Linked DNA regions of Chlamydomonas reinhardtii. Each later gene encodes a partner of the first gene's protein in a complex. Links are inferred from orthologs where the notes say so. Each region holds a gene or a part of one and is shown in the gene's direction. Other genes may lie near its edges.

Evidence for each region. Proteins that work in one complex are often made in the same cells at the same time.
Region 2: CHLRE_09g403300v5 (region 1) and CHLRE_03g172050v5 share a complex: the UniProt entries of both Arabidopsis thaliana proteins name them as parts of the 7-subunit TFIIH core complex. The link is inferred for Chlamydomonas reinhardtii from reciprocal best matches to the Arabidopsis thaliana genes AT4G17020 and AT1G18340.

What each region holds. Positions count from the first base shown.
Region 1 is NC_057012.1:641,021-644,762, forward strand, and holds the start of CHLRE_09g403300v5 (uncharacterized protein), read left to right. Parts: upstream 1-1,051; 5' UTR 1,052-1,452; coding exon 1,453-1,563; intron 1,564-1,846; coding exon 1,847-1,892; intron 1,893-2,047; coding exon 2,048-2,306; intron 2,307-2,605; coding exon 2,606-2,762; intron 2,763-3,017; coding exon 3,018-3,274; intron 3,275-3,636; coding exon 3,637-3,742. Other genes in the region: CHLRE_09g403350v5 (uncharacterized protein), read right to left, coding at 68-112, 332-541, 722-778. UniProt on the Arabidopsis thaliana protein: Component of the general transcription and DNA repair factor IIH (TFIIH) core complex, which is involved in general and transcription-coupled nucleotide excision repair (NER) of damaged DNA and, when complexed to CAK, in RNA transcription by RNA polymerase II.
Region 2 is NC_057006.1:4,010,979-4,014,720, reverse strand, and holds the start of CHLRE_03g172050v5 (uncharacterized protein), read left to right. Parts: upstream 1-1,445; 5' UTR 1,446-1,545; coding exon 1,546-1,552; intron 1,553-1,629; coding exon 1,630-1,733; intron 1,734-1,873; coding exon 1,874-1,953; intron 1,954-2,464; coding exon 2,465-2,628; intron 2,629-2,841; coding exon 2,842-3,102; intron 3,103-3,463; coding exon 3,464-3,742. Other genes in the region: CHLRE_03g172100v5 (uncharacterized protein), read right to left, coding at 1-120, 414-605, 842-973, 1,118-1,192. UniProt on the Arabidopsis thaliana protein: Component of the general transcription and DNA repair factor IIH (TFIIH) core complex, which is involved in general and transcription-coupled nucleotide excision repair (NER) of damaged DNA and, when complexed to CAK, in RNA transcription by RNA polymerase II.

The sequences.
Region 1 (3,742 bases):
CGAGCCTGCGTGCGGTGTGTGCCGGGGCGACGCAGCGAACTTCAGCTCCGAGGGCCCAACCGCTCACCAGGATCTCCGCGACTTCGCTCAAGGTGTCCTGGTCGTCCGACTCCTGCAAGCGTTGGGGCCGGCGAGTTCAGGGTGCGTCGCCGAACCTGTCACCAACGGCTGAACGACAATGCTGTGGTGACCGCACCGCCCAAGGAAACCTGCCCCGGGCGGTGCTCCATATCATGCAGAACATCGCGATGACGCAAGAGCGCGGCTAGGGACGCGTCTCCACCGCGAGCCAATTCAAGGACATGCCCAAGTCCCAGGCTTCACGCCTCACCAGCAGCTCCATGAGCCAGGGCAGAGCCTCTTCGCCGCAGTATAGGGCGTGGTTGACAGCGTCGATGTCATGCTCAAGCTCCCCAGCTTCAAGGCTTGAAGTGAGCATTCCACGGAAATCGACAAGCTCGGCTATTGTTTGCGCCTGACTTGTCGCATCCTTACCAAGCGCATCTTGAGTAACAGCTACAACTCCTTTACCAGAGCGAGCCTGCAGTTTGCGGGAGCCAGGGCGCTCAAAGCGAGGCCCCTCGCCGGACAAATTTGGATTGTCCCGCTGGGTCCTCGCCACATGTGCGCTGAGCGCGCTGACCTGCCTTAACTCAAGTCATTTACTCCTACTCCCTCTGGGCGAAGGTTTCTGGTCCAACAGCACTCCGCGCGAACGAACCTTGATGGCCAAGGCGCGCCAGGCTACCGCGGCTCCTGCCGCTGCTATCAACAACATTCTGTTAAGGCGCCTTCCCCTGCTGCAACAGCAGCGCAAGGAGCGCGAGTCGGAAGTCGACTGGCCAGGGTTTAACACCCGTCTTGGCAGAGGTAAACGTTGCCGTAGAAGAAATGAAAAGTTATGAGCGCTCTTGCTGTTTGAAAAGTATGCGTGGCAAGAACACTTACCATCAGGGAGAGAAATTCTACAGTATAGTTACCATGGGTCTCCTCATAAACAATCTTCTGCAGCCCAGAAAATAAATTGTCAATGCATTCTCGACTCTTATATGTAAAATTCCAAGCTCTTTCTTATTGTATGCGCGCACCAAGGTGTTTGCACTTCACTGCTATTTAGCACCGCTGCACTTTCAAACACCAGCGAGTAGATCCCAAGCATTCTCGTGCTTAACGTTATTCTATTAGATAGCGTGCTCTTGGCGCAGGAGCCGCTCGGAGGGTCGGCAAGAGTCCGGCGAGGGTCGCGCCCTATTAGCAAATATCTCTCTGTCCGCGGATCGTATTCCTAGGGCGGGGGCATCGAGCGCCGTGTCAAGCCCCGCGGGTGCCACGGCACGGGTCTGCGGGTGGTGTGCGTTCACGCGGGGGGCTCCAGTGTTCGAGCCAGCCATTCCGCATCACCCCACTCCTAGATCCTAGCCTTCTCCTCGCCCACTATCAAATACAACACGAATGGACTTCGCTGCCTACATCAGTGGCCTGCCCGGCCCCAAGCGCGGCGCTCTATACCGCTCCCCCTGGACCTGCCTAGCCGTTTTCAGGAATCTGCCGCCTCTGGCGCAGGTGGGTGGTACCAGTGGTGTTAGTGGTTGCTGCGTTGGCTGCCGCAAGCGGTGTGGAGTGGCGTGGCGTCGATGGAGCGTGCGCGGAGGGGTGGTAGCAGGCTAGCAGCGGACAATTGACGCAACGGGGGCTATCTGAGGAAGGCGAAGCGGACGAGGAGGCTTTGTCGAATCCGCCGTATCAAACGCCACGAGTCCATTCAGTGATATTGCACATGGCGGTGCAGTTGATTGTGAGGGTCAGGGGTCTCTTTTACATGCTGTCTGCACGGCTGCGGCTGCAGGTCTATGTGATGCGGCTGCTGTTCGTGCCGTCGCCCTTCCCAGCAGGTGTGTGCGCTGTGTGCGTTTGCATGTTCCGCTGGGCGTGTGTGCACGGCGGGGTGAAGGCGAGCGTCGGGACCATGCGTGTGGGCGCCACGTATGCTTGGAAATCACAGGTTCACTAAACGCTCATAAGGCTTACCTGGCGCTACCCAACACAGACTTTGTGGACAGCTGGGCAGCCAAGGGCGCGGCCAGCGGACACAAGGCAGCGCTGTCGGCACTGCGCGGACTGGACGTCCTTACAGAGGTGGCGGCGCCCGGGGGCCCTGGTGGAGGCGGAGGGCCGGACGCAGGGGCGGCGGCGGCGCTGGCGGCGAGGGCCGCGGCACGGCAGCAGCGCGGTGGTGTCGGTGCGGTGGCGCTGTGGTGCCTGCACCCGGACTTCCGGGCTCAGCTGCAGACGGTGGTGTGCAGCGGGTGAGTGTCGCCAGGAGCGGGGTAGGAGCGGGGCAGGAAAGGGGCAGGAGCGGGGCAGGAGCAGGGCAAGAGCGGGACAAGGCCGGGGTAGGAGAGCAACAGGGCAAGGACCAAAGGGGCCTGTGGAGCTGTAGCGCGGACAGCAGGGCTGTGGAGGGTCTGGAGGCCGGCGACGGCACGCGCTCCGTCCGGGCAGCTCCAGGCGAACCACTGCTTCATAAACATCGGCTGACTCGTCCCCCCTCCTGCCCTCCTCCTCCTCCTGCTCGCCCCCTCCCCCTGCCCACCACCTGCCGCAGTTCCCAGCTCATGCGCGGCGACGTGCCAGCCGCCGCCGCCAGCTGCTGTCCCTCCCTGGAGGAGCTGGGCGAGTGGGCGGTGGGGCAATGGGAGGCGCTGCAGCTGTACCTGCTGGGGAGCAGCCGCAGCCCGCCGCAGCTGCCGCAGCTGCTGAGGGTGAGAGCGCGCACGTGCGAGGACGGGGCGGCGGCGGGCAGGCGGTAGGGAAGGGACGGAGAGGGAAGGGAAGGCAGGAAAGGACACGGAAGGCGTGGTTGAGGAAGCTATTGTCGCCTCCGTGACGAAGCCATATGGGTTGAGCCCTGACGCAGCCGTTGATGCAACAACGCAATCATGGGCCAGGTATACTAACTAACAACAGCAGGTCTCCAGAACAAATATGATGACCCGCACGCGCGCAACCGCTCTCAGGCTCGCAACTACAAAGAACTGGACATCCGGTCGCTGCTTGTGGAAGCCGGACTGCTCGCATTCCTGTCCGACATAGCGGCAGCGGCTGTAGCAAACGCTGCAGGCGGCAGTAGCGGCGGCGGGCGGCCCGCCACGCGCGGCGGCGCCGGCAGTAGCAGCCTGGCGGTGACGCAGCGCAGCTTCCACTGGCTGCTACAGCCGGGGGACAGGCAGCTTTGGGCTGTGCTGCGCGAGTACATCAGCGGCGCAGAGGCGGCGTGAGTCGTGCTTGTGTGTGTGTGTGTGTGTGTGTGTGTGTGTGTGTGTGTGTGTGTGTGTGTGTGTGTGTGTGTGTGTGTGTGTGTGTGTGTGTGTGTGTGTGTGTGTGTGTGTGTGTGTGTGTGTGTGTGCGATAAGGGCTTGTGGGGTGGGCGGGGACGTGCAGGGTACATGCTTGCGGGGGCCAGGCGGGTGGAGACGTCACGGGCGTACTGAGCTCGGGCGCCTGTGATCGCGGTAGTGCCGGCAGGAGGCTGCTATGTGCCGCGTGATGTGTGTGTCAACGGTGGCGTTGGCTTTGAGCCCGACCCCTCAGCCATGCCCACCCCCACTCCCGCATCCACCCCACACGCGCCCGCAGGTCCGGTGACGAGCTGGCCCACACGCTGTCCTTCCTGTTGCAGCTGGGCTTCCGGCGGGTGGGGCAGCCCTGCGCCTGGGCGGAGCTGCGGCCGCCGGAGCAGCGC
Region 2 (3,742 bases), on another chromosome or scaffold:
CAGGTGGTCCACCTCGTGCTGCGCGATGCGCGCCGCCCAGCCCGTCAGCCGCAGCCGCAGCGGCAGCCCCTCCACGTCCACCCCCTCCAGGTCCACCTCCCGGTACCGCCGCACAATCGCCTGCAGGGGCGCGGCAACAGCAGCAGCAGCGTGAAAGGAAAGCATACGGCGGCTTGCGACAGTAGGTGGGTGTGCATGTGGGGCTGGCGTGTGCCAGGCCCCGCTGCTTCGCCACCAACTGCCGCAGCACCGCCCGCCCAGCTTGGTGCTCCTCTGCCAGACACTCGCATCCTACACCCCAACACAACCCACTCCCTCTGACCGCTTATCCCTTTGTACGGCAAAAACCGCCCCACGACCCCCTCTCTTCCCTCATTCCCCAGGCAGGCAGACTGCCGCGGCCACCCACCCACCGTGTACCCGCGCACGCTGAGGCAGCCCTCGAAGAACGCGCCGCCCTCCTGCCCCACCGCCTTGAGGGTGGGGTTGACCACCACCAGCGGCCCGAACGGCCGCCGCTCCACCGCCGCCAGCAGCTCGGCGCTGTACACGCCCGCCGCCGCCTGCCGGTCCATGTACTCCTGGCGGTCCTCCATCACAATTACCTGCGGGCCCCGCAGCGATGCAGCGAGGAGTGGTGTGCGAACATGCGAACATGCAAGTGCGAACCTAGCGTGCCGATGTGGGTCGCCATGCCCCTATTGCTCGCTCCTAGCTGCGTGCACCAACGTGCGGTGATGGAGTGACACCGGCACATGCACGGCAACGCGGCACCAGCCCAGCCGCAGCCTGCCTACCGCACTGCCCACCGCCCCCCTTCCTTATCGTCTACACCACCCACCCGCCAGGGTTCGCCAATCTGTGGTGCGGCCAGCCCCACCCCCGGCGCCGCACGCATGACGTCCGTCATCTCCTCTGCCAGGCCCCGGAGCCAGCCGCTACCCAGCAGCTCGCGAGGCACCGTCTTGGCAGGCTGTGCTGCGGGCAGAGGAGCAAGCAAGTCACCGAGCCTCAACCCCAACCAGCGTGCGGGCCGGCACAGGAGCGGGGACAGGGGACGGAATGCTGAATGCAAGGGGTGTGCGGCGAAGCTGCGTGTCAGCTGTAAAGCTCGCACCTGCCGTAGGACGGGAGACCCCGCCTGGACGATGGACCGCAGCTTGGCCGCATCGGGGGCTGGGGAAGTTGCCATGGCAACGACACCCTGACCCCGTGGAGCACCCGTACGTGCAGCCCGCTCCGTCCGCTGCAGCTGTCGCTTCGCCGCTGCTGACGTGCAGGTGTAGCGGCTTCCAGAGAGCATAGTTGGCCTAGGAAACAAGCGCAGTGGAGCGATCTAGAACGTGAAGCTGGGGCCAATGGACCCGCGTGTATTTATTGCATCGATCGGAGTCTTCCGTGGATTTTCGATGCCAGTCAATACATGAATTATGTATAGATATCAAGCTTACAAGTAATAAATCGGGAAGCAAGTCTATGAATGTGTCAATGAGCTGCACTGCACATTAAGTTCCGCGCGCTGCTCGCGCGGCGGGCGCCGAGGCCATGGCGGGCAAGTCATTCGGGGCTTAAAAACATTAGGTTAGCAATGTCATTTAACGCGACTGAAATGGACTCGCTCTGTCGCAGACGAGGGCGATTTGCTGGTGGTGCTCTTCGACCTGGTGCTGCTGCGCCCGGATAATCCCTCGGCGGACTCCCTTGACGTGACTCCGGCCGAGATCCTGTCTCAGGTGGGGCCGGGGAGCGCACGCGGGGAAGAACCATCGCGTTCCGCCTTTGTCTGCCGTTCGCGTGCTGACCTGCTGCAACACCTGCACCCCATGCCCATACCCTTCCCTGCCCCTCACCTCCTGCCCCTGACTTCCTGCAGCTCCTGGCTTTTGCAAATGCCTACACCATGCTCAGCAGCCACAACCGCCTCGCCGTGTTCGCGGGGCAACACGACTTCAGGTGCGGGGCTGGCCGGCCCAGACGGAGCCTATCTCCTGCTTCGTAGCCGACCGCCGCTAGCAGCCAGCCGCCAGCCGCCAGCCGCCAGCTACCTCCGCATGGCGCCTCCACACGAGCGCCATGGCCCCATGGGTCCCTGGCGCTGCTGCAGTGCCAAGGCTGCACACAGCACACGCATGGGGGGCATGGGGGGTGCGAGCTGCTCTGTGCGAGTGTTCGGGGTGTGTGGCGGCCGCTAGCAGCCGGCCAGGTGCTGGGGCCAGCCCGGACCGTGCGGCACACAGGCCGTGACGCACACAGGCCGTGCCGTGGTCTGGACGCAGCTGCACTCCTGCTGCTGCTGTGCCGCCTGCTTCCCAACCTGTGCCGCCCTCTCCCGCGGGTGCCGCCTGTTTGCGACCATCCCACGTCTCTTCCAACCCACCACCTGCCCGCACCTACTACCCCTCCGCATCAACTCCACTCGTCATCCACCCTCTCCCCCTCTCCCCTCTCCCCTCTCCCCCCTCAGCCACCTGGTGCACCTGGGCCTGGGCGAGGACGCCAGTAACACCGAGGTCTTCCCCGCCGGCGCCCTGCACACACGACTGACGGACCTGGTCACGCAGTGCGCGGCGGCGGCGGCGGCAGGAGGCGCGGGCGCAGGGGCTGCAGCCAATGCTGGCCAGGGCGCAGGTGGGAATGATGCCGCGTTGGCGAGTGGCAGCGCCTTGTTTGGGTGGTGGTAAAGGAGGGGAATGTGTCGATGTCGGGCGCACGGACCAGGGTAAAGGCGCTTGCATGTTCGCCGTTCACCGTGCATCGCATCGCGCTTGGCCCCAGTCTCTCTGCCGTCTGCCGGCACTCACGCAACCCCCCACCCCCACCCCCAACCCCACCCCGCCCCAGGCCCCGGCTTCGCGCTGTCGGGCGCACTGTCCCGCGCGCTGTGTCTGGTCCACCGCCTGCAGCAGCAGCAGGCGGCCGCGGGCGGGCGGCCGCGCGGGCGGCCTCGTGTGCTGGCGCTGCTGGGCTGCGGCGACACGGCGGCTCAGTACATCCCGGTGATGAATGCCATCTTCTCCGCGCAGCGCGCCCAGGTGGTGCTGGATGCGGTGGTCGTGGCGCCGCAGGACTCGTCCTTCATGCAGCAGGCCGCGCACCTCACAGGTGCGGTGCTAGGGCGCTAGGGCGGTAGGGTGGTAGGGTTCTAGGGTGGAAGGGTGGTAGGGTGGTAGGTGGTGGGCTGCTGGGTGCTTGAGGGCTTGGTGGCATTCGTCGGTGCTCAAGGTGGTGTTTGAGGAAGGGCTGCAGTGGGTGCGTTGGTTGATGCTGGTAGGCCACGCATGGGATGGGGCTAAACAATGGTTGGCTGCGCCGTTGAGCAGTTTGACGTTCTACGAGCCAGAGCATACCGGTATGACCGAGCGAGCCACAAGCTGAGGCCGCACGCTGCAACCCGGTGGCAGCGGCGGCGTGCTCGGCTCGCTGACACAACCAAACCCACAATGCCCAACATGCACACACGCAGGCGGGCTGTATTTCCGGCCGCACCGAGGTCGCGGCCTGCTGGGTGTGCTGCTCAACCACTTCGTGTGCGACACCGCCACCCGCAAGCAGCTGGATGAGGCTCAGGCCTTAGGGGTGGACTTCCGTGCCTCCTGCTTCTGCCACAAGTACGTCATAGAGACTGGCTACGTGTGCAGCGTGTGCCTGTCCATTTTCTGCCAGCCCAGCCGCTCATGCACCACGTGCGGCACAGCGTTCGGTGCGGGCGGCAAGGCGGTGGGCGCTGGTGGGGGCGGGGGAG